Linked DNA regions of Stegostoma tigrinum. The protein of the gene in region 1 interacts with the protein of each later gene in a biochemical or structural test. Links are inferred from orthologs where the notes say so. Each region holds a gene or a part of one and is shown on either strand. Other genes may lie near its edges. The genes, in order: ube2kb, anapc11, rlim and uba1.

Evidence for each region.
Region 2: the proteins of ube2kb (region 1) and anapc11 form a complex in vitro, tested with the Homo sapiens proteins (3 studies listed by BioGRID). The link is inferred for Stegostoma tigrinum from reciprocal best matches to the Homo sapiens genes UBE2K and ANAPC11.
Region 3: the proteins of ube2kb (region 1) and rlim form a complex in vitro, tested with the Homo sapiens proteins (2 studies listed by BioGRID). The link is inferred for Stegostoma tigrinum from reciprocal best matches to the Homo sapiens genes UBE2K and RLIM.
Region 4: of the proteins of ube2kb (region 1) and uba1, one has a biochemical effect on the other in vitro, tested with the Homo sapiens proteins (9 studies listed by BioGRID, with this or other methods). The link is inferred for Stegostoma tigrinum from reciprocal best matches to the Homo sapiens genes UBE2K and UBA1.

Annotation. Positions count from the first base shown.
Region 1 is NC_081354.1:98,591,658-98,598,691, reverse strand, and holds the start of ube2kb (ubiquitin-conjugating enzyme E2Kb (UBC1 homolog, yeast)), read right to left. Parts: upstream 3,023-7,034; 5' UTR 2,916-3,022; coding exon 2,853-2,915; intron 2,810-2,852; exon of another isoform or gene 2,746-2,809; intron 1-2,745. UniProt on the Homo sapiens protein: Accepts ubiquitin from the E1 complex and catalyzes its covalent attachment to other proteins. In vitro, in the presence or in the absence of BRCA1-BARD1 E3 ubiquitin-protein ligase complex, catalyzes the synthesis of 'Lys-48'-linked polyubiquitin chains.
Region 2 is NC_081375.1:22,110,728-22,118,420, reverse strand, and holds the start of anapc11 (anaphase-promoting complex subunit 11), read right to left. Parts: upstream 3,021-7,693; 5' UTR 2,810-3,020; coding exon 2,635-2,809; intron 1-2,634. UniProt on the Homo sapiens protein: Together with the cullin protein ANAPC2, constitutes the catalytic component of the anaphase promoting complex/cyclosome (APC/C), a cell cycle-regulated E3 ubiquitin ligase that controls progression through mitosis and the G1 phase of the cell cycle.
Region 3 is NC_081368.1:21,549,888-21,557,471, reverse strand, and holds the start of rlim (E3 ubiquitin-protein ligase RLIM), read left to right. Parts: upstream 1-4,574; 5' UTR 4,575-4,695; intron 4,696-7,584. UniProt on the Homo sapiens protein: E3 ubiquitin-protein ligase.
Region 4 is NC_081364.1:12,926,031-12,933,524, reverse strand, and holds the start of uba1 (ubiquitin-like modifier-activating enzyme 1), read left to right. Parts: upstream 1-4,485; 5' UTR 4,486-4,602; intron 4,603-7,494. UniProt on the Homo sapiens protein: Catalyzes the first step in ubiquitin conjugation to mark cellular proteins for degradation through the ubiquitin-proteasome system.

The DNA.
Region 1 (7,034 bases):
ACATTTGTGTTACAAATGCTAGACAATTATTATTTCCAAACAGAATCTAGCCATTTCTTATTGGGGTTTTATGGCATTGCCATTTCTAAACTCCTGCCATCAACATTCTGGCAGGGACCAACAATCAGACACCGATTATAAAAACAGATCAGAATTCTACAAGTGACTGAAAATTTGACTGCCCAAAGCTTTTCCACCAACAAGGAATTAGTGAGGAGGGTGATGGAAAGCTCTGCTTTGTCCTGGACAAATGCAAATCCAAAACAGTTAAAAAGCAGCTCAACACAATCTAGGACAAAGCAACCCCCTTACTTTATATCCATTTTCCCACTACTGACGCACAGTGATGATGTAGCATTACACTTAGAATGTGTATGCCAACCACCACCACAAGACCTTCAACTTCCATTCATGCAACCTCTACTACCTAGGAGGATAAGGGTCGCAGATGCGTTGAACACCACCAGCAAGATCCTCCCTGCCACACACTACTTTGACTTAGAATGGCAATATGTGTCTATTGTTGCTGGGTCAAGATCCTGGAACTGCTTCTGTCATCATGGGTGAACCTACACCATATGAACTGTAGCAGCTCAAGAGCCAATTGGTGTTGATAGAAAGTTGTTTATGTAAATGAAGTCCAGTGTACAGTAGCATCCCATGAGGATCAGCACTGGGACCCTATTGTTTTTGATATTCAAAAATGGGGTTGATAGGGTAGGTTTGAAGATGGCACAAAGATTATCTAGGTGTTTGACTGTGAGGAGGAAGGTGTTAGGTGACAGAAGGATATGGATTGGTCAGATGGACAGATCGGTGACAGATGGAATTTAACAGTAACAAACATGAGGTGATGTACTTTGGAAGAAGGAACAAGGAACAAGTACCCAATGAATGGCAGGACACAATAAAGCTCAGAATAAGAGAGAGAATTTTTGGCGCGCTTGTCCTCAGATCCCTGATGGACAGATTAACAGGACAGTTAAAAGGCACATGGGACACTTGCGTCCACCAGTCATGACAATGATTATAAGAACAGGGATATCATGTTAAAGCTTTACAGAAGCTTGGTTAAGCCACACCTGGAATACTGCATGCAGTTCTAGTCACCACACTATAGAAAGGATGTAATAACACTGGAGGGGCTGCAGAGAAGATTCACCAGGATGTTGCCAGGGATGAAGCACTGCAGCTATGCAGAGAAGTTGGATAACCTGGTGTTGTTTTCTTCTGAGCACAGAAATTGAGATGAAACCTAGTGGAGGTGTGTAAAATTATGAAGGGCATGGACATGGCGACGAAAAATCAGCTGTTCCTGCTAATCAAAGAATCAATAACAAAAGGGGCATAATTTTAAAAGTAAAATACAAGTTTAGAGGGAATTTGAGGAAAACCTTTTTCATCTAGACAGATGGTGAGAGTCTGGAATACACTGCATGGTGGGTTTGGTGAGGTAGGAAACTTCACAAGCTTTAAAAAAGTACTTAGATGGCACTTCAAGAGCTCATAACCTTCAAGGCTATAGACCTAGCATGGGAAAATAGGACTAGTGTATATAGTAGTGTATTTTCAGCAGGGCAGATTAGATGGCACAAAGGGCCTCTTCAGTATTGAATGATTCGTGGATTCTCAGGCAGCACCCTACCATCTTTAAGGGCAATTTGGACCAGGCAATTTGGCCTTACCAGCGACACACTCATGCCGGAGGCCCAATCAGATCATAAGGAAGATACTGAAAACAAATCAAATAAAATCCTAGTGAACAACATAACTGTCACATGTTTTATTTGTAAACATATAACTGATCAAACATCTGCAGTTATCAATAATATGCAATTACACCCTTGAAGAAATAGTTCAAAACACTTAATACAACTGAGTTGTATTTTAATGTAATTTTAATGTAAGCAATCCCATATCTACTACCTACATTAAAAGGTATTTGCAAAAACTTTTCAAAGTAGGTAGGGACTGAGCACATTGCTCAAAAGTAGAATTCTTTCAGAAAACTATGTAAGGTTCTACAGTTAGCATTAGTACTCCAAGATGATAAAACTGACCAACACCTGATAAAAAAAATTGTAATCTTCGGAAAGAAATTGTCAGTTGGAGCCTAACCATATGCAGATAACTAATTTTTGACCAACTTAATACGTCTAAAGCAGATTTAAATTCATAACTATGATAAACTTTATATAGTCGTTTAGCTTAACGTAATCACGGATCTAAATTCCTGCGTTCCCTTTTGTTTAAAAGAAAACTGATGTGGTGAAGTAAATGCATATCTGAAATGAAAAACATGTTAACACAGCAAAATAACCAAATGTCAATTGTGGAAACCAGATATCACCTAACGAGACGATGTCATCCGATACCAATACGGTTTCTAAACAAAGAAAAGCATTAGACTAAACCTTAGCAATAACATGAAATAAACCGTTCATCTCAATTCCTTCCACCACGAACTCAGCCGTATACAAAATTAATGTGGAGGTGGATGTCTCGCATGGTGGTGGAAAAATGTCACACGCCTACAAGCTTAGCAACAACCTGAGTGCTCAAGGTACCACCCGGACCTCCCAAAAATCCGGCATTTGAAGAGCTTCACATCAACCACGCCATTGCTATGACATTGATAAACGGCAGATTTGCAGCAGCTTTTAAAAAAGTGACTTATAGTAAGCCCCGCAAAGGCTCCCTGGACTTTCCCGAAACCGCCTCTGGCGCCTGTCCATCACCCGGTCCCGTGTCCATCACCATGAAACTCCCCGCACTCTCCTCTCCCGTCCGCAGCCAGTCAACCAAGAAGGTATGAACAGATTAGCGTAGGTGAGGTTGGGAGCAACTCTTACCTCTTCGCTCTTCAAGACCTCCTTAAACTCTCGTTTAATTCGCTGCACTGCGATATTGGCCATTTCGCGACGCGCTGCTCGGCCTCGGCTCAGCCTTCCTTACAACATCAGACTATCAGCACGGCCAAAATGGCGGCGCTTCCGCGCAGGCGCACTCCAACAGCTCCGTCGGGCGAATGGGGTCGGCGAGAAGCGCGAGCGGCTGGCGGTGACGGGCTCGCGGCTCAGTCGCTGACTGGCGAACGTTGGAGCGATATGGGCCCGCTCGGCTGTAATCTTCATTCAGTACACTTAGGCCTTCCGTGCTACTGATCCGTGTACACCTGGACAGGGTCAAACCTCATCCCTTACCCGCGTCAAATGACATCCCCTGCAAGGTCTACCTGTCATAATACTCACCCACTGATTTCCCCGACTTGTTGGTGTGTTATTGCGGCTCACTAAGGAGGATATGTTACGTATGTTTAGGGGGTGGGGGCTGGGGTAATGCATTGCTTAACGTCCATCTTTGCATCCACCCAAACCCCAAGCCTCACTCTTATTTCAAGGGCGTTTGTGAACAGAAAGTAGTTTGTTTATGATTCTCTGCTCGAAAGTAATGTTCTTTAATGTTCCCCACATTCTGGATTGTAAACTCAGTTTAATTGGCTGTTGAATTCTCCAGGTGTGGAGTTCAGAAATGAAGAAGGGTCTCGGCCCGAAACGTCAGCCTTCCTGCTCCTGAGATGCTGCTTGGCCTGCTATGTTCATCCAGCTCTACGCCTTGTTATCCTGGCAGGGAGGTGTGCTAGTTCTATTAAGGAAGACTGCGAACTATTAAAGAGGTAGCATTGTAAATAGATACATAAGGATGGTTATGAATCTGAAAAGAGCAAGCTAATTAGAAGAGACAGGCAAGAACAAGTCAGACAAAGAAGGAGCTCTGAAGTATTAAACTGCATTTATTTCAATACAAGGCTGATGAGCTTGGCATGTTTGGGTACATGGGGTTGAGACATCATTGCTATTGCAGAAAATTGATTGAGGGAAGGACAGGACTGGCAGCTCAATGTTGTAGGTAGGATAGAGTGGGGTGTGGGGTGTTTTTGATTGAGGAAAGCATTAGTGCTGTATCGAGAGAAAATATTTCCAAAAATTCATCCAGTGAAAGTATATGGATTGAAATTAGGAATAAGAAAGGAATGATCACCGTGATGTGTTTATATTTTGGGCCACTCAATAGCCAGAAGGAAATTGAGGAAAAAGTATGTAGAGAGATCTCAGAATAAAAAGGTTGTAATAAGAGGGGATTTTAACTTTCCAAGCATTGATTGGGACTACCATAGTATTAAAGGTTTGGATGGTGAAGAATTTGTTAAATGTGTTCAATAAAATTTTCTTTATCAATATGTAAATGTTCCTACTAGAGAAGGAACAAAACTTGACTCCTTGGGTAATAAAATGTGAGGCTGGATGAACACAGCAGGCCAAGCAGCATCTCAGGAGCAGCTGCTTGGCCTGCTGTGTTCATCCAGCCTCACATTTTATTATCTTGGAATTCTCCAGCATCTGCAGTTTCCATTATCTTTGACTCCTTGGGTAATTAGGCAGGGCAAGTGTCTGAGATGATTCTGGGGGAACACTTGAGTCTAGTGATCATAATTGTATTAGTTTTAAAATGTTTATGGCAAGGGATAATCCTTCCATAAAAGTTAAAGTTTTTTGAGGTTGGTTGGCTTGCTGAGCTGATTTCTTGTTTCGCAGTCTTTCGTTACCATGCTGGGTAACATCCTCAGTGCAGCCTCAGATGAAGCATCGGTGTTTAAACTCTGGGGTCCATTGAGATGGATTGCCTCACTTCCGGTTTTCCTTCATAGTGAAATGTATATGGGGTTGAGTTCAATATGTTTATTAATTGCTTGCTTTCTGGAGTGCCAGGCTTCTAGGAATTCTTGTGCCTGTCTCTGCCTAGCTTGTCCCAGGATTTTGGTATTGTCCCAGTTGAAATGGTGGCTCTCCTTCCTGGACCTCTCTGTCTCCATCTCAGGCAACCAGCCAGAAACTGATGTCTGCTTCAAGCCCACCGACTCCCACAGCTACCTAGAATACACCTCCTCCCACCCAGCCCCCTGCAAAAATTCCATCCCCTATTCCCAATTCCTTCGCCTCTGCCGGATCTGCTCCCAGGATTCCACTCCCGCATATCCCAGATGTCCGCGTTCTTCGAGGACCTCAACCTACACCCCCCGCAGTGGTTGAAACCGCTCTTGACCGTGTCTCCCGCATTTCCTGCAACACATCCCTCACGCCCCGCCCCCACAATAACGGCCCTAAGAGAAACCCCTCGTCCTCACGTACCACCCCACCAACCTCCGGATGCAATGCATCATCCTCCGACACTTCCGCCATCTACAATCCGACCCCACCACCCAAGACATTTTTCCATCCCCACCCTTGTCTGCCTTCCAGAGAGACCACTGTCTCCATGACTCCCTTGTCCGCTCCGTACTCCCCTCCAACCCCACCACACCCGGCACCTTCCCCTGCAATCACAGGAAGTGCTACACTTGCCTCCACACCTCTTCCCTCACCCCCATCCCAGGCCTCAAGATGATTTTCCACATTAAGCAGATGTTCACCTGCACATCTGCCAATGTAGTCTACTGTACCCAGTGTGGCCTCCTCTACATTGGGGAAACCAAGCGGATGCTTGGGGACCGCTTTGAAGAACACCTCCACTCGGTTCGCAATAAACAACTGCACCTCCCAGTCGCAAACCATTTTAACTCCCCCTCCCATTCCTCAGACGACATGTCCATCATGGGCCTCCTGCAATGCCACAATGATGCCACCCGAAGGTTGCAGGAACAGCAACTCATATTCTGCTTGGGAACCCTGCAGCCCAATGGTATCAATGTGGACTTCACCAGCTTCAAAATCTCCCCCTCCCCCACTGCATCCCAAAACCAGCCCAGCTCGTCCCCGCCTCCCTAACCTGTTCTTCCTCTCACCTATCCCCTCCTCCCACCTCAAGCCGCACCTCCATTTCCCACCTACCAACTTCATCGCGCCCCCTTGACCTGTCCGTCCTCCCCAGACTGACCTATCCCCTCCCCACCTATACACTCCTCTCCACCTATCTTCTCCTCTATCCATCTTTGGTCCGCCTCCCCCTCTCTCCCTATTTATTTCAGAACCCTCTCCCCATTCCCCTCTCTGATGAAGGGTCTAGGCCCGAAACATCAGGTTTTGTGTTCCTGAGATGCTGCTTGGCCTGCTGTGTTCATCCAGCTTCACACTTTGTTATCTTGGATTCTCCTGCATCTGCAGTTCCCATTATCTCTGCTCTCCTTGTCCATGTAGATTGAGATGAGTGAGTACTGGTCACATCATTTTGTAGCCAGTTGGTGTTCATGTACTCTTGTTGTTAGTTTCCTTCCTGTTTTTCCGATGTTCTGTTTCTCAAAGTCACTGCAGAGGATCTTGTAGATGTCGTTGGTCCTGTCCATGGCGGGAGTGGGTCTTTAGTTCAGGTGAGCAGTTGTCGAAAGGTTGACATGGGCTTGTGTGCCACTGTGATGACCAGCGGTCATAAGAGTCTTGTGGTGAGTTCTGACGTATTCCTGATGTAGGGTAGTGTGATGAGTGTGTCAGGGTGTGTAGTATCTTTCTGATGTTGTTCATGTAGGCATCTTCTGACCCAGTTTTTTGGATATCCATTATCCTTGAAAACCTGGAAGAGGTATTCTTCTTCCTCTTGGCAAAGTTCCGTGTTGCTGCAGTGTGTTGTTGCCCTGTGTTCAATAGTCAACACACGGGAAGGACAGGCCCTGGAAGGATTAAAGAAGGACAAGAACATGACAATACTACCCACAGACAAAGGGCACATGACAGTGATACTGAAAAAAAGGGACTACATCTCCAAGGCACATGCACTGCTCACCAATGAGAATACATACTGGCCGGTACAAACTGACCCAACACTGCAACTAGGCAACAAAATCCTCTACACACTAAAAAGACTTAAACAAACACGACAGATCAACATAGCAGACTGCTCAAGAATGAAACCCAAAGGAACCAACACACCCCAATTCTACGGCCTCCCTAAAGTGCACAAGCCAGAAGTACCCCTCAGACCCATAGTCTCCCTACCAGGCACTCCATGACATAGATTAGCCAAGGAACTACAAAGGAGATTCA
Region 2 (7,693 bases), on another chromosome or scaffold:
GGTGAAATGATTGAACACATTAATCAGTTACCACGTAAATGCATTTTTAAAACAAGTATTCAAGTGTCAAGCAAAAGCAGGACTCCCAGTATACTGTAGCACCTCAAGTCCAAATTTCTTTGCTGAGTTGAAACAAATGTCCACAGCAAGCCTATACAATATTTTGCAAATTAATTTCTGTTAAGTGAACATAGACCAAGGTATGTGTATAAATTTTATGTACAGAATTTTATTAGGTTCCTTTAAATTAACATGTTCATTCACAATCAGCTAATAGTTTGCTAACTCACATTAAATGTAGTTTAGTTCCCACACCAGTGCTTAGATTTATAGTGGTACTCAGACTTAAATTTTCGACCTTGCTTTCAACTCACTCCATAACTTGCACTCTACCAGCCCTATAAAATAATTGCGTTGCTTTAATTATGGCCTCAAGCAGCCCCAATTTTAATTACGCCACCCTTGTCTTTAGCTGTCCAGGTCCCAAGGTCTGAAATGCCCTCCAGAAACATCAGTCTCTCTCCCTCTCTAGGATGCCCCTTAAAATCTATCTTTTTGACCAAGGTTTTTTGCCATCTGATCTAATAGCTCTTCGTGACTCAATGTTACATCTTTTTTCATAGTCTCTGAAGAGCCTCAAAACTTCCTCTTGTTGCTGTAGTTGTATCAATTGCAACCCATGGGATGTGGATACACCTAGATATCTTTAGAAAGTGTGTTCCAACAGTGAAGGAAAACACCATCACAATTTCATGTCAGCATAAGGGTATCCCTATGTTCTTGCTGTTCTGGTTCTTCAGAGAAATGGAGTTTGCAAAGATTATGGTGCAGCAGCTAATACACTCAGTAAAAGGAATACAGTTTGATGCACAGTACCACTTCAATATGCATGAGAAATGATTAAAGGGCAAGTCAGTCTAATGAAACTTACTTCTTTTACATTTTGTAAACGGCCATTTCTAAGCCAGATTACAGTTCCATCCCATTTGAAATAATTATTATAGCGGAAAGAAGAAATTATTGACCAGAAAGCACCTTCAGAGTGGTTCCTACTTCATGTAGCAACAGAATGAACTTTAAGAGGAAAAGAACAAATGTGAAATACAGCACAGGAACAGGCCATTCACTCCTCCAAGGCTGTGCCAATCATCATGCCCTGACTAAACCAAAAAACAAACCTTCTGCCCTTATTTGGTCCATATCTCTCTATTCCCCCCCCATTCATGTAGCCATCCAGATGCCTCTTAAATGTTGCCAATGTGCCTGCTTCCACCATCTCCTCTGACTGCATTTCACACTCCTACCACTCTCTGCATGAAAAAAAAACTTTCCTCACATATCTCCCTTAAACTCCTGCTCTCTCACCTTGAACCCGTGCCCCCTAGTAATTGAAAGTTCAACTCAGGAAAAAGCCTTTTTGACTATCCACCCTATCTATGCCTCTTGTAATTTTATAGACCTCTTGTCTTCTCAGCTGCAGTCTTTCCAGTGAAAACAATCCTAGTCTTTTTGACCTTTCCTCATAGCCAATGCGCTCCAGACTGGGCAACATCCTGGTGAACCTCCTCTGCAATTTCTCCAAAGCTTCCACATCCTTTTGTAAATGTGGCAACCAAAACAGCACACAATACTCCAAATGCGGCCTAACAAAGGTTTTATATAGCTGCAACATGTTGTGCCAACTCTTGTACTCTATGCCTCAGCTGAGGAACGCAAGCATGCCATATGCCTTCTTTGTCAGAGATGGCAACACCATCTGCCATTTCTGCGCCCAAGTTGCCAATCTATCTATATCCTGTTGTACGTTTAACAACTATCAACAATTGCACTAATCTTTGTGTCATCTGCAAATTTATTAATCAAACCACACACATTTTCCTCCAGCTCGTTTATATATACACAACAAACAACAGAGGACCTAAGACTGATCCCTGTGGAACACGAGTTACTGGTCTCCATTCTGAAAAACACCCTTCCACCATTACCCTCTGTCTTCTATGATCAAGCCAGTTTTATTTCCATCTAGCAGCCCACCCTGAATCCCATATAATTTTAGTTTTTGTACCAATCTGCCATGAGGGACTTTATTAAATGCCTTACCAAAGTCCATATAAACTACATTCACAGCTTTTTGTTCAATTATCTGTGTCATCCCTTCAAAAAATTCGGTCAGGTTGGTGAGATATAACCTTCCGTGTACAAAACCATGCTGTTTGTTGCTAACTAGTCCATTTTCTTCCAAGTGTGCATGCATCCTGTCCCTCTACCTTCTCCAAGAGCTTTCCCACCAGAAACGTCACTCACCGGCTTAATGTTGGAAATGAATTTAGGTTAGCTTGTGTTTAACTATATCCACATCATTTAAACTTTATCTTCCCAAAAATGTAAATAGGATTTGAGGGATGGGGTTTGGGGCATTGGAGGATCTGGGGGGTTTGGGGCATTGGAGGATCTGGGGGGTCGGGGCATCTCCAGTCACCCATTTTGGAGGCTTGGTCCACCCTCTACCCCATACTCTCCCACTCCTACCCATGTCTCCCGTATTCTTTCTCCCTTTCTCTTTCCCTCCGGTCCCCATTCTCTCTCTCTTCCGTACTTTCCCTCCCTCTTTTCCTTTCCCATCCCCTTACTCACAGTCCGGGCAGCAGCCGTTAAACGCCGTGCGGCAAATACCACAATTCTCGTCGTTAGCCACCCAGAACCAGGTAGCGATGGCGTTCCAGCGCTTCACCTTGACCCGCATGACGGGCGGTTCGACAGCCCGGGGCAAGGGAGAAATCTCCGGATCCTGTTCGCAATCACACTCCATTCATCATGTCTGGGCAGGCCTCCGCAACAAAGCGCTGAACTGAACACATTCTTTCGAAACACATTTCTTCTTCCCGCCACAGGGGCCAAAACAAAATACTAAAACGGGCGTCAACAGTACAACATTGAAGTTTCAGAGATCGGATATTTTTTTCCTCCAACATCGATGATGTTTCTGCGTTTGATTCCCCGCGTCGGGACCTCCGTTTCAGGCGCTCTGATTGGCCGTTCACTTTGGCGCCTCTGATTGGCGGGTTCCACAGAAGGGAGGGAGGCTTGTTTCTCCTGTATATTGGGAGAAGAGCTGATCCATTGAGAAAGAGCTCTGGGAGGAATTAGGTCCACAGAGTCATAAAGATCTATTAGCACAGAAAAAAAGGCCCTCTGGTCTTTCACGTCTACACCGGTCAAAAACAACCACCTTAAGTAATCTAATCCCATTTTCCAGCACTTGCCTTGTATGCCAACTATACATCTAAACATCATCAGAGGAGCAGGAAAGCTGACCTTTCAGGCGTAGACCCTTCATTAGAATTGGGGAAGGGGGTTCTGAAATAAATAGGGACAAGGGGGAGGCTGATAGAAGATGGATAGAGAAGATAGGTGCAGAGGAAACAGACAAGTTAAAGAAGCGGGGATGGAGCCAGTAGAGGTGAGTGTAGGTGGGGAGGTAGGGAGGGGATGGGTCAATCCGGGGAGGATGGACAGGTCAAGGGGGTGGAATGAGGGGATAGGTGAGAGGAAGAACAGGTTAGGGAGGCGGGGATAAGCTGGGCTGGTTTTGGCTCCATCCCCGCCTCTTTGACTTGTCTGCCTTCTCTCCACCTATCCATCTTCGATCTGCCTCCCCTTCTCTATTTATTTCAGAACCCCCCTTCCCCTCCCCCATTTCTGATGAAGGGTGTAGGGCTGAAACGTAAGCTTTCCTGCTGCTAAAATGCTGCTTGGCCTGCTGTGTTCATCCAGCTCCACACTTTGTCATGATAATAAAATGTGAGGCTGGATGAACACAGCAGGCCAAGCAGCATCTCAGGAGCACAAAAGCTGACGTTTCGGGCCTAGACCCTTCATCAGAGAGGGGGATGGGGGGAGGGAACTGGAATAAATAGGGAGAGAGGGGGAGGCGGACCGAAGATGGAGAGTAAAGAAGATAGGTGGAGAGGGTGTGGGTGGGGAGGTAGGGAGGGGATAGGTCAGTCCAGGGAAGACGGACAGGTCAAGGAGGTGGGATGAGGTTAGTAGGTAGCTGGGGGTGCGGCTTGGGGTGGGAGGAAGGGATGGGTGAGAGGAAGAACCGGTTAGGGAGGCAGAGACAGGTTGGACTGGTTTTGGGATGCAGTGGGTGGGGGGGAAGAGCTGGGCTGGTTGTGTGGTGCAGTGGGGGGAGGGGATGAACTGGGCTGGTTTAGGGATGCAGTGGGGGAAGGGGAGATTTTGAAACTGGTGAAGTCCACATTGATACCATATGGCTGCAGGGTTCCCAGGCGGAATATGAGTTGCTGTTCCTGCAACCTTCGGGTGGCATCATTGTGGCAGTGCAGGAGGCCCATGATGGACATGTCATCAAGAGAATGGGAGGGGGAGTGGAAATGGTTTGCGACTGGGAGGTGCAGTTGTTTGTTACGAACTGAGCGGAGGTGTTCTGCAAAGCGGTCCCCAAGCCTCTGCTTGGTTTCCCCAATGTAGAGGAAGCCGCACCGGGTACAGTGGATGCAGTATACCACATTGGCAGATGTGCAGGTGAACCTCTGCTTAATGTGGAATGTCATCTTGGGGCCTGGGATGGGGGTGAGGGAGGAGGTGTGGGGACAAGTGTAGCATTACCTGCGGTTGCAGGGGAAGGTGCCGGGTATGGTGGGGTTGGAGGGCAGTGTGGAGCGAACAAGGGAGTCACGGAGAGAGTGGTCTCTCCGGAAAGCAGACAGGGGAGGGGATGGAAAAATGTCTTGGGTGGTGGGGTCGGATTGTAGCTTTTGTGCTCCTGAGATGCTGCTTGGCCTGCTGTGTTCATCCAGCCTCACATTTTATTATCTTGGAATCTCCAGCATCTGCAGTTCCCATTATCTCTCCACACTTTGTCATCTTGGATTCTCTAGCATCTGCAGTTCCTATTATCTCTGTACATCTGAATACTTCCTTAATGTTATGAGGGTTTCTGCCTCTTCCACCTTTACATGCCATGAATTCTAGATTCTGAGTGAAAAAGTTTTTCCTTACATCTTCTCAAAACCTTCTGTCCATTGTCTTAAATCTATGCTGTCAGTCATTGATCCCTCCAGCAAGAAGGTTTCTTTCTGTCTGCCCTATCTATATTTTTATTCATCACATGCACGTGCCCTTTCCATTTCCTCTGTTTTAAGGAAAGCAGCCCTGGTGTGTCCAATCTCTCATAACTGAAAATTTCCAGCCCAGGCAGCATCATGGTAAATCTCCCCCGCACCATCTCTAGTGCTGACATTTCCCATCTATAACGGACATAAAGGGGTCAGTTTCTGAAGTTATTGAATTCAATATTGAGACCTCGAGGCCTAAGCAAAGGAAAATGAAGCGTCGTTCATCGAGATTGCCTTGCGCTTTGATAGAACATTGTAGCAGGCCCAGGACAGAAATGGTTGCATAAGAGTTATGTGGCTTATTGAAATATTGAGCAACTGCGAGGTCAGTGTGATTCCTACAGACAGAATGGGGGTGTTGAGTTTCTCTATCATTTTTGGTATTTGTTTCAAATTTCCAGCATCCACAGTATTTTGTCTTTTTTCAAGCTACAGATTAATGGGTTAAAAACCAACTTGGGAACGAAATCTCCATTCCCCAAAGGGGGAGTAAAAAGGTATGTGCGTGAAGATATATTTTATGAAAATAACTTCTCTGCTCTTGCTTCATTCTCTTGAAACTTTTTTTACTTCTTTTTATCCAATTTCCATTGGAAGGCTGTGACTGAACTTACATTCACCATCCTTTCAGGCTGCTCTTGTTGAACAATGGCAGTGTACCAACCTCTGGGCTAGGATGTCTTATTTCAAGGCCCACCTGGTCCAAAAGTGTGCAACAACATGTCAGAACAAGATGATTGAAAATAATTTGTTGTGACACAGTTTTAGCATTCCTACCCCCAGGGCCAGAACATCCAGTTCAAGTCCCACCTGCCATATTGTCATAACATCTGAACAGGTTTGTTTTAAATAAAAGGTGTTGTGGCATCTATCTCAATGACTGGCATGGATCAGAATTGGCATTCTGCAGTGACCAGACAAACTTGCAGTGCTGCAACTGTGGTCCAATTTGTAATATATGAAGTTCCAGCATCACTTCCCAGCTCTTATAATCAAGGCAAGTATCTTGTATGCTTTCTCGACAATCTTTGCAACTCTTCATGAATCTTAACTTCACATTGAACAGTTAAGTACAAAAAAGCAAAGTTTCAACTTTTAAAAGAATTGCTGATTCTAGAAATCTGAAATAAAATCAGAAAATGCAGCCATCGCTCATTACGTTTGGCAACATCTGATCTGAAATATTAATTCTTTTTCTCTTTTCATAGATGCTTTGCTGCCAGATTTGCTGAGCGGTTCTAGTATTATTGTTTGAGTTTTAACTCTCCAATGTGATCTGTGTAGGTATGTAGCACATAACTGCCCAGATGATTGGAAACTTGACCCGAAATATGGAATGTCAAATTCCTATGGCCGTATCAGCCCTACAGACAACATGGTGGTGCTGGCTTGAATGTTTCACTCAATGGCCTATAAGTAGTATGTAAAAGCCATGGATATTTTCTCATGTACTTTTCATCATTTTACAAAAACAAGATCTGTGCTAACATTAATTAGCTGTAAAGTGGAGCATATGTGGTCATTGCTGTCGTACTTTGCTTTTTGCAATGACAGTGTGCAGCAACAATTTCTATATGAGTGAAGAAGGAGGGAAAATGAATAGGTCAGGTGAATGCACAGTTTGAAAGGGAAGCAGAAGTTTTACGTCCATAAGTTGAACCCAGAGTTGAAGATATACATTTTTGTTTTGCTTTATTTGGATGCAACAATTCACAATTGAGATTGAAAGCACTTTAACTCTTTCATTGCAAAAAGACATTGGACAAAACTGAGTTTCAATTGTGGCACCTGGGACACCAGAATAATACCTGCTAGTTACGTACCTACTCTATAATCAGTATCATTGTCTAATCCTGGTATCATCAAATTGATCAATTAAATCTATATAAAGAAAAAAATACTTAATATTTATATAATACTGCATTTTTCCTTTCAAGAACGCATCAAAGTATCACATACAATTAATTAGTCTGAAATGTTCTCATTGCCAATTTACAGGTGAATACAAGTGGTCTAGTTGGACTGAAGGGTCTATTTCCATGTTGTTTGGTCTATAACAGCCTTTTCACACAATGCATGGTGCCACAAGAAACAGTAAAATACAATGAATAGTCAATCTGGTTTAAATAATATTGGTTGAGAGAGTAATATCACCCAGGAGACCCCTTTCTAAATGCCATACCCTCCCCTCTTTTATTCATCTTCACTTGACCTTGGAAATCCACCTCATTCCTCCACCTGCTCCTTAGAGTGTCCCATTCATTCCTGCCCTAAAAGAACAGGACTTACCTCATTCTAGATACTAGTGTTTTGTTACATGGATATGCTTGCAATCGTGGCAGTGCACAGTGCTAAATTTTGGCATTTCTGGGCTGACTAGTGCCTCTAGCCAATCAGAACATTCCAATGTCAACAATGGCACTTCCTGTCCTCTCAGAGGCAGAAGCTGCCCTGCAACCTGTTTACGCCATTCCAAGACTGTTGTTGGTACACAGCAGCATTTTTTAGAAACTAGTTCATTTGGAAAGCGACTGGAATATCTGATGCAGAAT
Region 3 (7,584 bases), on another chromosome or scaffold:
TGGGAAAGCTGAAATAGCTGCAGATGCATAAAACACCTGCACCGGATGGACTGTTTACCAGAGTTCTGACGGAGATAGCTAAAGCAATCGTGGAAACATTGGTGGTGATCTTTCAGGAATCACTGGAGTCAGGGAAGGTCCCAGAGGACAAGAAAATGGCTAATGTAATACTCCTGTTTAAGATAGGAGGGAGGCAGAAGATGAGAGATGACAGACTGGTTACCTGAACTTTGTTGTTGGTCGGAAATTAAAGTCTGCTAATAAGGATAAGATTGCAGAGTACTTGTAAGTGCATGATAAAATAGGGCTGAGTCAGCATGGCATCTTGAAGGGGAGGTCACACCTGACAAATTTTGTTAAAAGTCTTTGAGGAGGTAACAAGCAAATTATACAAAGGAACAGGAGTGGATACGATCTGTTTGGATTTCCAGAAGGTTTTTGATAAGGTGCTGCACGGGAGTTTAGAAGGATGTGGAAAGGGGGTGGAGTTTCTCATTGAAACTTAAGAGGCCTGAGTACAGTGGACGTGGAGAAGAATTTTCCACTAGTAGGAGAGACTAGGGCCTGAGGGCACCGCTTCACCACGACCCTTTAGAACTGAGAAATTTTTTTAGCCAGAATGTGGTGAATCTGTGGAATTCATTGCTATAGAGTGCTGTGGAGGCCAATTCATTGAGTGTATTTAAAGAGGTAGATAGGTTCTTGATTGGTAGTGGGGTCAATGGTTAAGAGGAGAAGGCAAAAGAATGCAGTTGAGAAATATATATTTTTGAATATGCAATGAACAGGATTAATGAAGGCAAAGTGGTGGACATGATCCATATGGACTTCAGTAAGGCGTTCGAGAAGGTTCCACATGGTAGACTGGTTAGCAAGGTTAGCTCACATGGAATATAGAACTAGCCAATTGGATACAGAGTTTACTTAAAGATAGGAGACAGAGTGTGGTGGTGGAGGGTTTTTTCTTGGACTAGAGGCCTTTGACCAGCGGTATGCCTCAAACATCGGTATTGGGTCCACTGCTTATTCATCATTTATATAAATGATTTGGATGTGAACATAGGGTTATGGTTAGTAATTTTACAGACGACAACTAAATTCGGTGGTGTTGTGGACAGCCGGGAAGGTTACCTCAAAGTACAATGGGATCTTGATAAGATGGGCTGGTGGGCTGAGGTGTTGCAGACAGAGTTTAATTTAAATAAATGTGAGGTATTGCATTTTGGAAAGGCAAGTCAAGGCAGCACTTATATACTTCATGGTATTGTTGCTGAGAGTGTTGCTGAACAATGAGACCTTGGAGAGAGATAATGGGAACTGAAGATGCTGGAGAATCCAAGATAATAAAGTGTGAAGCTGGATGAACACAGCAGGCCAAGCAGCATCTCAGGAGCACAAAAGCTGACGTTTCGGGCCTAGACCCTTCATCAGAGAGGGGGATGGGGTGAGGGTTCTGGAATAAATAGGGAGAGAGGGGGAAGCAGACCAAGGATGGAGAGAAAAGAGGATAGGTGGAGAGGAGAGTATAGGTGGGGAGGTGGGGAGGGGATAGTTCAGTCCAGGGAAGACGGACAGGTCAAGGAGATGGGATGAGGTTAGTAGGTAGGAGATGGAGGTGCGGCTTGGGGTGGGAGGAAAGGATGGGTGAGAGGAAGAACAGGTTAGGGAGGCAGAGACAGGCTGGACTGGTTTTGGGATGCAGTGGGTGGAGGGGAAGAGCTGGGCTGGTCGTGTGGTGCAGTGGGGGGGAGGGGACGAACTGGGCTGGTTTTGGGATGCGGAGGGGGAAGGGGAGATTTTGAAGCTGGTGAAGTCCACATTGATACCATTGGGCTGCAGGGTGCCCAAGCCGAATATGAGTTGCTGTTCCTGCAACCTTCGTGTGGCATCATTGTGGCACTGCAGGAGGCTCATGATGGACATGTCATCTAAAGAATGGGAGGGGGAGTGGAAATGGTTTGCGACTGGGAGGTGCAGTTGTTTATTGCGAACCGAGTGGAGGTGTTCTGCAAAGCCGTCCCCAAGCCTCCGCTTGGTTTCCCCAATGTACAGGAAGACACACCGGGTACAATGGATGCAGTATACCACATTGGCAGATGTGCAGGTGAACCTCTGCTTAATATGGAAAGTCATCTTGGGTCCAAAACCAGCCCAGTTCGTCCCCTCCCCCGACTGCACCACACAACCAGCCCAGCTCTTCCCCTCCACCCACTGCATCCCAAAACCAGTCCAACCTGTCTCTGCCTCCCTAACCTGTTCTTCCTCTCACCCATCCCTTCCTCCCACCCCAAGCCGCACCTCCATCTCCTACCTAATAACCTCATCCCACCTCCTTGACCTGTCTGTCTTCCCTGGACTGACCTATCCCCTCCCCACCTCCCCACCTCCCCACCTATACTCTCCTCTCCACCTACCTTCTTTTCTCTCCATCTTCGGTCCGCCTCCCCCTCTCTCCCTATTTATTCCAGAACCTTCACCCCATCCCCCTCTCTGATGAAGGGCCTAGGCCCGAAACGTCAGCTTTTGTGCTCCTGAGATGCTGCCTGGCCTGTTGTGTTTGTCTAGCTTCACACTTTATTACAATGAGACCTTGGAGTACAGGTTCATAGTTCTTTGGAAGTAGAGTCACAGATAGGTAGCGTAGTGAAGGAGGTGTATAGTGTGCTTCCCTTTCTTGGTCAGTGCAACGGGACTTGGGAGGTCATGTTCTGGTTGGTTGGATATTGGTTCGGCCACTTTTGGAAACCTGCATGCATTTCTGACCTCCCTATTACTGGAAGGATGTTGTGAAACTTGAAAGGGTTCAGAAAAGATTTATGAGGATGTTGCCAGGGTTGGAGGGCTTGAGCTATAGGGAGAGACTGAATAGGCTGGGGCTATTTTCCCTGGAGCATTGGAGGCTGAGAGGTAACCTCATAGAAGTTTATAAAATTATGACGGCCATGGACAAGGGGGATAGACAGGTCTTTTTCCTGGGGTAGTGCAGTCCAAACTAGAGGCATAAGTTTGAGGTGAGAGGGGAAAGATTTAAAAGGTACCTAAGGGGCAAATTTTTCACACAGAGGATGGTGCATGTATGGAATGGGATGCCAGAGGAAGTGGTAGAGCTTGGTCCAATTACAACATTTAAAAGGCATCTGGATGGGTAAATGAATAGGAAAGATTTAGAGGGATACAGGCCAAATGCTGGGAAATGTCTCCAAATTAATTTAAGATATCTGGTTTGCAAGGATGATTTGGACTGAAGGGTCTGTTTCCATGCTGTACAGCTCTGTGACTCAATAAACATGATCGAATGGTGAGCAGACTCAGTAGACCAGAAGGCCTGATACCGCTCCTATATCTTATGGTACTAATATATAGTTAATTCCTCACTTGCTTAATCAAGTCATAATTATTGAAAACTAACTCAAGTCTACATGGGTTGCAGATAATTGTGGTTGAGCATATCACGTAACAGCTACAATCAGATTGTGCAGATTCTCAGCAATTTACCCCCTCCCAGTCAAGGCTAGTGACACCGAAGAACACCAAATCTCATTAAAATTTGGAATCTGCATTCTCGCACTTGCTGTCAGGATCAATTGCAACTTTTCACAGATAGCTTCACCAAGTTAGCATTTTGACTGAAATTTTTTGACTTTTAAGTTTGCTCAGCTGTGCAAAGCAAATACTATTTCTGGGATTTTCAACCACCATCTTCAGCTACAGTGAGGTATTAATTGACTGCAACTTTATTCTGAGGTCCTCAGTTTCCAGACATTCCAGAGCACTGACTCTAACATTGTGCTGCTCAGAATTATCCAATGTTCTGCTAGACTTTTCTCTGAGCTTCACAATACAGAAAGAGCAGTGTTCTCAACATTAGATTTCTCATGGAGCCTGCTTTTGGCTCCCTTACTCACTCTCCAACCACATATAACTCTTGAATTCTTGAAATCTATGAAATATTCTGAGCGACTCATTGCAACAAGCCTGATCTTGTTCCTTGGCAGGACTGAATTTTAAATAGGGGAACTCAAATGAAGAAAGTGCTTGGACCTGTCTATTCCCTCGATGTTCACAACCTGCTGGGGTACACTGGGAATAACAGGGCTCTTATGCCAGCAGACCTGGGTTTACACCCCACCTGCTCCAGAAGTATGTCTCTGACCAAGTAGAATAGAAAATATTTGTACAAAAGAGAGGATTTCATCACATTCTCTCCACATCTGCTGTCTGGCCTTTATTTATTATTATTATTAATTCACAAGATGAGCACATCACCGGCTGGTCCAACATTTATTGTCTATCCCTAAATGCCCAGGGGGCAGTTAAGAGTCAACCACCTTATTGTTGCTGAGAAATTCCTGGTACTTATTTTGTGTATATTTAAACATCTGCTTTAATATGACAGTAAATATAATCGAATGCATAGGGATATGAACTGCAGTTCTTTTAAAGTAAAAAAAAACTGCTTTGATTCATGCTTTCTTGCAGAGGCGATGATGTCGTGCCCGGAATCTTTCTCCAGGAGTTGAGCCGTTGTGCGGGCTGGTGGGATGGTTTTGGGTAGCGGTTCCCACCTGCCGGGGGGATGACAGAAGCGGCGGGACACTGCGCTGGTTTCCTGTTTCCGCTTGTCTCTCCCACTCTAACAATGGTGGTAACGGTGTGAGCGGCCCGACCCGAACGGATCGAACTCGACGTGAGCAGGTGAGGGCGCCCGGGGCCGGAGGGCTCTCACGGCCGGTGCTGGCAGATCGCGGTTGGCGGCGCCTATTGATTTCTTCTCGCCCTTCTCTGTCCTCCCTGTCGCCGGTCGCGCACACCCTGCTGCGTACGGCAGCTTGTGAACAGGCCGATGGGGAACCGGCGCCGGGGAAAGGCCCAGGCTCTGCGGCCTAATCTCAGCCATGGCGGGGCGTGGATAAGACGGCCGGGGATTCCGTGAGGGTTTAACCACCCCATCTCCCATGTTTTTTCCCCTAAACTCCGGGCTGCTTATTCTTCCCGCCGGTTTACAAAACCAATCCCTCCTTTTTTTAAAAAAAAGTCGGCGTCTTTTGAAACAGTCCCCTTCTCAGCGCAATTACTTCAGATAAAATCACCAGGTGTTTCCATATTTTTAAAGCCTGATTGCTCCCGGTTTGTTTTCTTTTTGGTTGGGCCACTTTGTCTTTTTTGTTTGTCTTGATGAAATTATTCGGAGCTAATTTACTATTTTCTCCTGTGTCACTGCCTACCCTTGGAGCTATGGGAGGGAATGCTGGAGGGAAGGATGAGTGTTTTTTTAATGCTAATACGGTTCGTCAACAGGTTCAGTTTCCTGTCTTAGTGCGAATTTATTTTTGTGTTCTCCTTTTGCCCCCTCACTGTCGCCTTGGTAATAATCACCGATTGATCTACAATAGAAGTCTGGCGCATTACGATCTTTGTGATTGCGTAACTGGCTTTATGTAGGTCAATAGTGCAATATAGCAGAAGATAGAAATACACTGGTGCTTTGAAACAAAAAAATGATGCTTTTGAGCGAAGTCTTGAAGCTTCCTTCTTTCTCAGGTTGGTGTATGTTTGGACTTAAGTGGGATATTAATGGTGACGATAGCGTAAAACAGGCATTCATTGCTTTTGTGATAATGGGAACTGCAGATGCTGGAGAATCCGAGATAATAAAATGTGAGGCTGGATGAACACAGCAGGCTCAGGAGCACAAAAGCTGACGTTTCGGGCCTAGACCCTTCATCAGAGAGGGGGATGGGGTGAGGGTTCTGGAATTAATAGGGAGAGAGGGGGAGGCGGACCAAAGATGGAGAGAAAAGAAGATAGGTGGAGAGGAGAGTACAGGTGGGGAGGTAGGGAGGGGATAGGTCAGTCCAGGGAAGACGGACAGGTCAAGGAGGTGGGATGAGGTTAGTAGGTAGGAGATGGAGGTGCGGCTTGGGGTGGGAGGAAGGGATGGGTGAGAGGAAGAACAGGTTAGGGAGGCAGAGACAGGTTGGACTGGTTTTGGGATGCAGTGGGTGGAGGGGAAGAGCTGGGCTGGTCGTGTGGTGCAGTGGGGGGAAGGGGACGAACTGGGCTGGTTTTGGGATGCGGTGGGGGAAGGGGAGATTTTGAAGCTGGTGAAGTCCACATTGATACCATTGAGCTGCAGGGTTCCCAAGCCGAATATGAGTTGCTGTTCCTGCAACCTTCGGGGGGCATCATTGTGGCACTGCAGGAGGCCCATGATGGACATGTCATCTAAAGAATGGGAGGGGGAGTGGAAATGGTTTGCCACTGGGAGGTGCAGTTGTTTATTGCGAACCGAGCGGAGGTGTTCTGCAAAGCGGTCCCCAAGCCTCCGCTTGGGGACCACTTTGCAGAACACCTCCGCTCGGTTCGCAATAAACAACTGCACCTCCCAGTGGCAAACCATTTCCACTCCCCCTCCCATTCTTTAGATGACATGTCCATCATGGGCCTCCTGCAGTGCCACAATGATGCCCCCCGAAGGTTGCAGGAACAGCAACTCATATTCGGCTTGGGAACCCTGCAGCTCAATGGTATCAATGTGGACTTCACCAGCTTCAAAATCTCCCCTTCCCCCACCGCATCCCAAAACCAGCCCAGTTCGTCCCCTTCCCCCCACTGCACCACACGACCAGCCCAGCTCTTCCCCTCCACCCACTGCATCCCAAAACCAGTCCAACCTGTCTCTGCCTCCCTAACCTGTTCTTCCTCTCACCCATCCCTTCCTCCCACCCCAAGCCGCACCTCCATCTCCTACCTACTAACCTCATCCCACCTCCTTGACCTGTCCGTCTTCCCTGGACTGACCTATCCCCTCCCTACCTCCCCACCTGTACTCTCCTCTCCACCTATCTTCTTTTCTCTCCATCTTTGGTCCGCCTCCCCCTCTCTCCCTATTAATTCCAGAACCCTCACCCCATCCCCCTCTCTGATGAAGGGTCTAGGCCCGAAACGTCAGCTTTTGTGCTCCTGAGATGCTGCTTGGCCTGCTGTGTTCATCCAGCCTCACATTTTATTCATTGCTTTTGGTGTGGTTTACTTTGCAATATAATTAAGTGAGAATATGTCTGATGTTTGTAAAATGAAAACTTCATGTGAACAAATTGTTCTGTTTTGTTGACTTTTTTTCCCTCAAGCTTGAGGGTACACTAAACAGAGAGCTAAGATTGCTATATGCAAGAAACGTGGAATTTGGGCATGTGCTGTGGAGTAATTCAAACTTTCTGACTGGTTGCCTTTGAATTTATCTCAACTTTGATTTTAAAAAATCAAACTGTATCTCCCTCTTACACATACTCTTTGTTACAGGGATAATAAAGATTTTTGTCGATTTTTCAGTTGCCATTTCTTCCATCACAGTTCAGTGATTATTAACATTTATAAGTTACATCATTAACAGTGATGGCAGACTTGCGCATTGGGTGATGAATGTACAGTACTAAGAATTCTTTATTTAGAATAGATGTAAATTTATAGTTTTTAATTCCATCTGGGTGTGAGGTATATTGATTTCCTTGTACTTGATCAAAACGTGACCAGTGATTTTTATTGTTCTCAATAATTATCTTTACAAATTTAACAATCTTGTTT
Region 4 (7,494 bases), on another chromosome or scaffold:
AGGGAAAAGACACTTGTCATTCACCTTATCCACATCCCTCATGATTTTATAAACTTCTAATTAAAAGGTTACCCCTCAACCGCTTACACTTCAGTGAAAAAAATCCCAGCATATCCAGCCTGTCTCCATAACTCAAACCCTCCCTCCCCAGCAACATCCGGGTAAATCTCTTCTGAACTCTCTCCAGCTTAACAATATCCTTCCTATAACAGGGCAACTGGAACTGGTCACAGTATTCCAGAAGAGGTCTCAACAATGTCCTGTACAACCTCAACATAATGTGCCAACTCCTACTCTCAAAGGTCTAAGCAATGAAGACAAGTGTGCCAAACTCCTTCTTAACAACGCTGTCTATATGGGATGCAAACTTCAAAGAACCCTGAGGTCTCTCTGTTCTACAACGCTACCCAAGGTCCCACTTTTAATTGTATAATTTTTGCTTTTGTTTTATTTACCAAAATGCAATACCTCACATTTAACCAAATTAAACTCCATCTGCCACTCTTCAGCCCATTGGCTAATTGATCATGGCTTCTTTGTTATCTTCCATAATCTTCTTCACTGTTCTGCTGCACCATCAATCTTGGTGCCATCTATGTATAGGGATATCGGGATATTAACCCTTGAGCGGAGCTGCTGTTGTGGGAAGGGAGTCATTGAGAGAAGACACCGAGTCATCGACAGGGAGAGAGAGAGAGATCAGTGGCAGTCAATCTGCACATCTCTGCTGTGTGGACATTGGCAGGGCGCACGCGGCAGAAAGTTGAGTGTGAAATGTCAGGAAACTGCATTTCAAGGATAATAGCAGCTGGGCTCGACTTTTTTCTATCAGTTATTTTAAAATAAACACAGGGTGAAAGCATTCCCGTTTGACCCAAACCCTCTGCTATATGCTTCAAATAAGCTTTCCACACCAGCAAATGTGAATTCATTCGGAGTCTAAAATTTCAATTTCACTTTGTGCTCCTGAGATGCTGCTTGGCCTGCTGTGTTCATCCAGCCTCACATTTTATTATCTTGGAATCTCCAGCATCTGCAGTTCCCATTATCTCTTCACTTTCACTTTCTGTTTCCTCTCAGTCTGGGAGTTTTCAAATAAATTTGGACCTTAGTCTCTGACAATAAGCTCCGCCCCTTAAAGTGGCAATGACAACAACACTAACGAGAAAGGCAGATTCTGGAAGTCTGAAGCAAAAGACAGAAATTGCTGGAGAAACTCAGCAGGTCGGGCATTCTGAGATAACAAAGTGTAGAGCTGGATGAACACAGCAGGCCAAGCAGCATGAGAGGAGCAGGAAGGCTGACGTTTCTGGCGTAGACCCTTCATCAGATATGGGGGAGGGGAAGGGGATTCTGAAGTAAGTAGGGAGAGAGGGGGAGGCGGATAGAAAATGGATAAAGGAGAAGATAGGTGGAGAGGAGACAGACAGGTCAAAGAGGCAGTGATGGAGCCAGTAAAGGTGAGTGTAGGTGGGGAGGTAGGGAGGAGATAGGTCAGTCCAGGGAGGACAGACAGGTCAAGGGGGCGGGATGAGGTTAGTAGGTAGAAAATGGGGGTGGGGCTTGAGGTGGGAGGAGGGGATAGGTGAGAGGAAGGACAAGTTAGGGAGGCGGGGATGAGTTGGGCTGGTTTTGGGATGCGGTGGGGGGAGGGGGGATTTTGAAGCTTGTGAAGTCCACATTGATACCATTGGGCTGCAGGGTTCCCAGTGGGATATGAGTTGCCGTTCCTGCAACCTTCGAGTAGCAACGTTGTGGCACTGCAGGAGGCCCATGATGGACATGTCATCTGCGGAATGGGAGGGGGAGTTGAAATGGTTCGCAACTGGGAGGTGCAGTTATTTAGTGTGAACCGAGTGGAGGTGTTCTGCATAGCCTCTGTGCAGAGAAAGCAGAGTTAACATTCGGAATCCAGTGTCACTTCTTCAGAAAACAACTTGTGTTGCAAATCATTGAATGCCCTGTCTCTTTTATGTACAGTGCCATGATGTGGAGGTGCCGGTGATGGACTGGGGTGGACAAGGTCAGAAATAACACGCCAAGTTGGATTATAACCTGATATCGTGTTTCTTACACTGATCTAGAACATGAATAAAACTGCAATAGCTGTTACTATGTAAACAGCGGCAGCTCAACATGCTGCACAGTTCAAAAATACTAGTTAAAATGTCTGTGCTGCAAACAGGCCAGCATTTTTAATTGTTCAGATGCATTAATATACACTTCCAGAGCAGGGGCGACTCAAGCCCAGGCCTTTTGGCTCAGAGGTAGAGACACTACCACGGCACAACAAGAAGATCTTGTGGACATAAGAGAAAGAAGTGAATTTAATATAAAATATCAACTCAGCTCATTGAATGGTTGGGGCCGTTGAAAGGACTATGTAGCCCATTCCTGCTGTAATTTCTTACATTCTTAACCTCATAAGTCAGAGTTTCTTTCAAATCTCTAGCTTACTGGTTATTAAAGTGAATTTTATTTTTCATTCTTAGTCTGGGTATACTGCTGGCTAAAACAGCATTTATTGGTTGTCCCTAATTATCCAGAGGGCAGTTAAGAGTCAACCACATCGCTGTGGGTTTGGAGTCACATGTGGGCCAGACCAGGTGAGGATGGCTGTTTCCAACCCTAAAGGACATTCGTGAACCAGAAGGTGGGGTTTTCCAACAATCAATAATGGTCATCATTAGACTTCAGCTTCGCAAGCTTTATTGCTTTCAAATGCCCCCATCTGCTATGGTTGGATTTGAACACAGTAGTTTCTCACATTTCACAAACATTCTTACATATGTTATTGCCATGTCTGGCAAATGTGAAAGCCATTTTCCACCTTCCAAGGCTGACAAGTGGAAATGATATAAACAAGCAGGTACCTGGATGATGTTACTTGAACACAGGATAATTGTCAGATCACGATGAGGACTCCTCGATTTCATGAACCATGATTTATAGACATGGCCTCAGTTTAAGTGTGTCACCTCAAGGACAATAATGCAACAATTCATGAATTGGAATATGAGCCTAGCTTGTTCCCTTCAGTGGATTTTGGTTACCCCTCCTCTTCTAAATCATGACATCTTCCAATCTCAGGGAAATAAGAACATGGGGACAGGCCATTCAGTTTTGTCAGTCTGCATCCATATTTATCCCCAGAAAGTTGCACGGTGGCTCAGTGGTTAGCACTGCTCCCTCACAGTGCCAGGGACCTGGGTTTGATTCCACCCTCAGGTGACTGTCTGTGTGGAGTTTTACATGTTCTCCCCGTGTCTGTGTGGGTTTCCTCTGGGTGCTCCTGTTTCCTCCCACAGTCCAAGGATGTGCAGGCTAGGTGGATTGGCCAGGCTAAATTGCCCGTAATGTTCAGGGATGTGTAGGTTAAGTGGATTATAGGGGGATAGGTCTGGGTGGGATTCTCTGAAGGTCAGTGTAGGCTTGTTGGGCTGAAGGGCTTACTTCCACACTGTAGGGATTCTATGATTCAAAATTGTCTCTTATTTATTTTGTAGTCTGGACCTCAGCCACCTTGTTCCTCACCCTTCATTCACCTATTCAATGTCACCTGGAATTTTAGCATGTGGCCTGATTTTAACCTGACTGCTAACCAGCCATACTGAATTGAATACAACACCACCCCCAAAAAAACTCACATTATGTCCCATTGCCTCCGATTCAAACAGATGAAAGCTCAGGCTTTCATTTCTACCTGAATCACTGTCCCTGAAGTAAAATCTACAATTTCCCAATAACGTGTGTAAAGAAGTCTCACCTGCCGATTGTTTTACAGAGGGCTTTTCATTTTGTATATAAAGGCATAGAGATGTACCGCACAGAAACAGGCCTTTTGGTCCAACTCAACCATGCTGACCAGTTAACATAAATTAACCTAGTCCCATTTGCCAGCAAATGGCCCATGTCCTTTTAAACCTTTTGTGATGAAGGGTCTAGGCCCAAAACATCAGCCTTCCTGCTCCTAAGATACTGCTTGACCTGCTGTGTTCATCCAGCTCTACACCTTGCTATCTCCGATTCTCCAGCATCTGCAGTTCCTACTATCGTTCCCCTTTTAAAACTTTCCAAAAGCCTTTTAAATGCTGTAACTGTACTAGCCTCCATCACTTCCTCTGGCAGCTCATTTCATACATGGACCACTCTCTGCTTGGAAAAGTTAGCCCTTCGGTCCCTTTTAAACCGTTCCCCTCTCACCTTAAACCTATGTCCTCAGGTTTTGGACTGCCCTGCCCTGTGAAAAAGACCTTGGCTTTTCGCCCCATCCATGCCCCTCATGACTTTATAAGCCTCTAATGCATGGACCCCTTCAGTCTAGACCCCTCATCAATTGTTGGGAACAGTCTGTTTCTAACCGGTCGGTTCCGGGTCCTGCCGTTATACGCCCCAGCCTCGTCCGGTCTGAACGAGGACGCTGTCAGGAGTTGAAATGTGTTGCCCTTTTAAAGAGATCAGAATTTGGCAGGAAGCTTTTTGTTTCCTTTCTGTTGCTCGCTCTCCCAGATCAAGCGCAGGCAGTGTCATTCAGTTGATCGGAGCAATTTGTATCGCTGCCGGACAGAAGCACCTTCCTCAGGGACAAGAGAGTAAACTAAGGTGCGTTAGCGTTCGCGATATGTTGGTATAGCCATCAAAATCCGTGTTATAGTAAAATGCTGTAGAACAGTGCCCCAGGCAATTACTGAGGATGGTAAGCTCAGGTTATCATTGCTCCACTGAAACTGACTTTACAATCTACCAGCTGACCAAAGATATATTTTTGAGTTTTCAAATTTGGAACCAGAATTTTGCCTTTACGAATGAAAGCTTCTTCCTATTGCACTGAGGCGAAAGGCAATCTGTTGTTGTAGGAGTGAGTGACTTTATTTTACAAAGAGAAACTGCCTGTTGAAATTTGGTTGTTGAGCTTCCGTGGATTTATTGGAAATGAGATAACTGGACCGTCTGCAAATTTCTTCAGTTTAACAAATGAATGAAATTGACAAATTGTTTTGCTTCCCCCCACTCCCTTTTCCCATTTTGATTGATCATTCTGACAACGTGGACGGGAAGTTACACTTGAATTTGTTGACTTTGTGATGTATGCCCGCAGAATTGTTGCAATACCGAAAGAGACCATTCGACCCATCGTGTCAAAGAAGGAAAGCGAAATAAAGTGTAAAGGGGATTTTTTTTGTTAATTCCCCGTGAGTTTTAATGAAGTTGCTGCCAACTCGCATCTGAACCCTGTATGTTCCTCTGTTAGACCTTCAAATATTAATTGTGTTGAGGTGTTGTATGTAGTGCCAGAAATACAGATTTGCTATCCGACCGCCACCAATGCTCTTCACAATATGATTGTCAACTCTGATTGGATGCATTTGAGTCGAAGATTGATTGCTGATCAAAGCAAGGCCATTCAGCCCCTAGCATCCCTGATAGCTGTCTGTCGAAGCTACGCAGGGGGTCGCTTTCCTTATTGCGCTGAAAATACCTTCTCAGCATTATTATTCAATTCCCTCTTGAAAACTATGGTCGAATTCTCCTTTATACCCTCATACAGTATGTTCCTGATCCTTGCAACATTTTAAAAATTTTAAATTTCCCTTATTTCGGCAAAGCAGCTGGCTGGGACACCTTAGAAGATTTCCATTCATCTAGCACTCTCCCCCATCTCAGGACACCCAAAAGCTCATGTTACCTTTTATGATGCCAGACCACACCACCAAATTTATATTATGATCTGTGAGGGACTAGTGACTTTTTTAAAGTTGACATAGTTTCACATCCCAGGTATTTCCCAGAGAATAATGTCATAAGATTCCATGGTTTTAAACAGATAATGATAATCTTTACTATACAATGCAATGTACATATACGCACATATAAATTATATTCTAACATCCAGAATTAACGGGAGCCAAATGTGGGTAACAAATTGTGATTGATTGCCCTACAGAGCATGTCAAATTTCAGAAGCAATAAAGACATATCCCATGGATTTCTCAGCTATCCCTCCCTCCAAAAGCTTAATGACACAATGGATCATCAAATTTAATTTTAAAAATATCACAAGTGATTTCAATTCTTCACTTTTCACAATCTGGTCTGGAAAGTCCCTTAAGACCCGTTATGTCACAGACACTTCTGTTGACTGCTATGTTTTTATATTCACCTTCCTTTGAAGGGTCTGTGCTTCTCTAGATTGTGCAAACTGCACTCCGGCACAGCATTTACTTGCAGGCATAGATCCAGCTTTTCACCACCAACTGACTTTATCAAGCTAGTACTACACTTGTGTATTATCATGAGCTCTAGTCTTGTTTGATTGCGTCATGCTAATGCTGCTTTCAGGTTTTCCAATACCAACTCTCAATGGAACTTAATCATTAATATCTTGCAGACTTCTCTAAAACCCCACATTCTCTAAGCCTTCCTTAAGTCCCAACTCAACAGATCTATCCAATGCTCTTAAAACTTCTCATTGATCGTCCTACACAGAACCAGTATAGTTCAGTTGCCTTCCAGCATTTGACTGGGGTGCTGATGGGAGGATAGAATGCACAAATCACCAGAGCCAGAATTAGAGTATGATGCATTTGCTAATCCTCATGCACTTTTCTCTTTATACAACAACTGAACATGGACTGGAGGGTTGCCATCCTAAACACCTCCATTCAGTCTGAAAGCATGACCCTCGCTTCCAATACCCTGTCATTTTAGTTCTCAGCTCTCCCTCCAACTTTGGCCACTCTTTCCCTGGCCTCCTGAACTGTTCCAATGAAGCTCAACAGAAGCTCCAGAGGCCTCATATTCTAGCTTGGGTGTTTTACAGCCTTATGAACAGGGGGTGGAGTAAAATAATGTCCGATCACGATCACTGTCCCCATTGCTTTGGACAGCAAGGTCGTAGCTCTGATTCTGATTTAACTTCCTCATATTCCTTCTGGCTTGAGTGTCACCATCTTATTTTGCCTCATACCTTTATCCCTTTTGTTACATCCTTCTAGCATCCCATCACACCCCTTTCCTCTTGTGCTTTCCTCACTACCATCTTCCACAGTTTCTGTACTTACTTAAAACCTGTTATTTCTCAAAACTTCCCAGGTCTGATTTAAAAAGTCATGGCCTGAAACATTAGCTGTGTTTCTCTCTGTACAAAACCTCGAGGGGACTTGCTGTGTACTTTCACTTTTAATTGTAGATTTTAAGCATTTGCAAGATTTTGCTTTCAGTTTAAAGGTAAGGTAACCTGGGATATGTAAAACTTATATTATTCATTCACAGGATGAGGGCATCGCTGGCTAGGCAGCATTTATTGCCCATCCCTAATAGCCCAGAGGGCAGTTATGAGTCAACCACATTGCTGTGGGTCTGGAGTCACATGTACGCCAGACTAGGTAAAGATGGAAGTTTCCTTCCCTGAAGGAGATTAGTGAGCTAGATGGGATTTTCTCCAACCATTAGCAATGGATTTAAGGTCATCATTAGACCTTTAATTCCAGATAT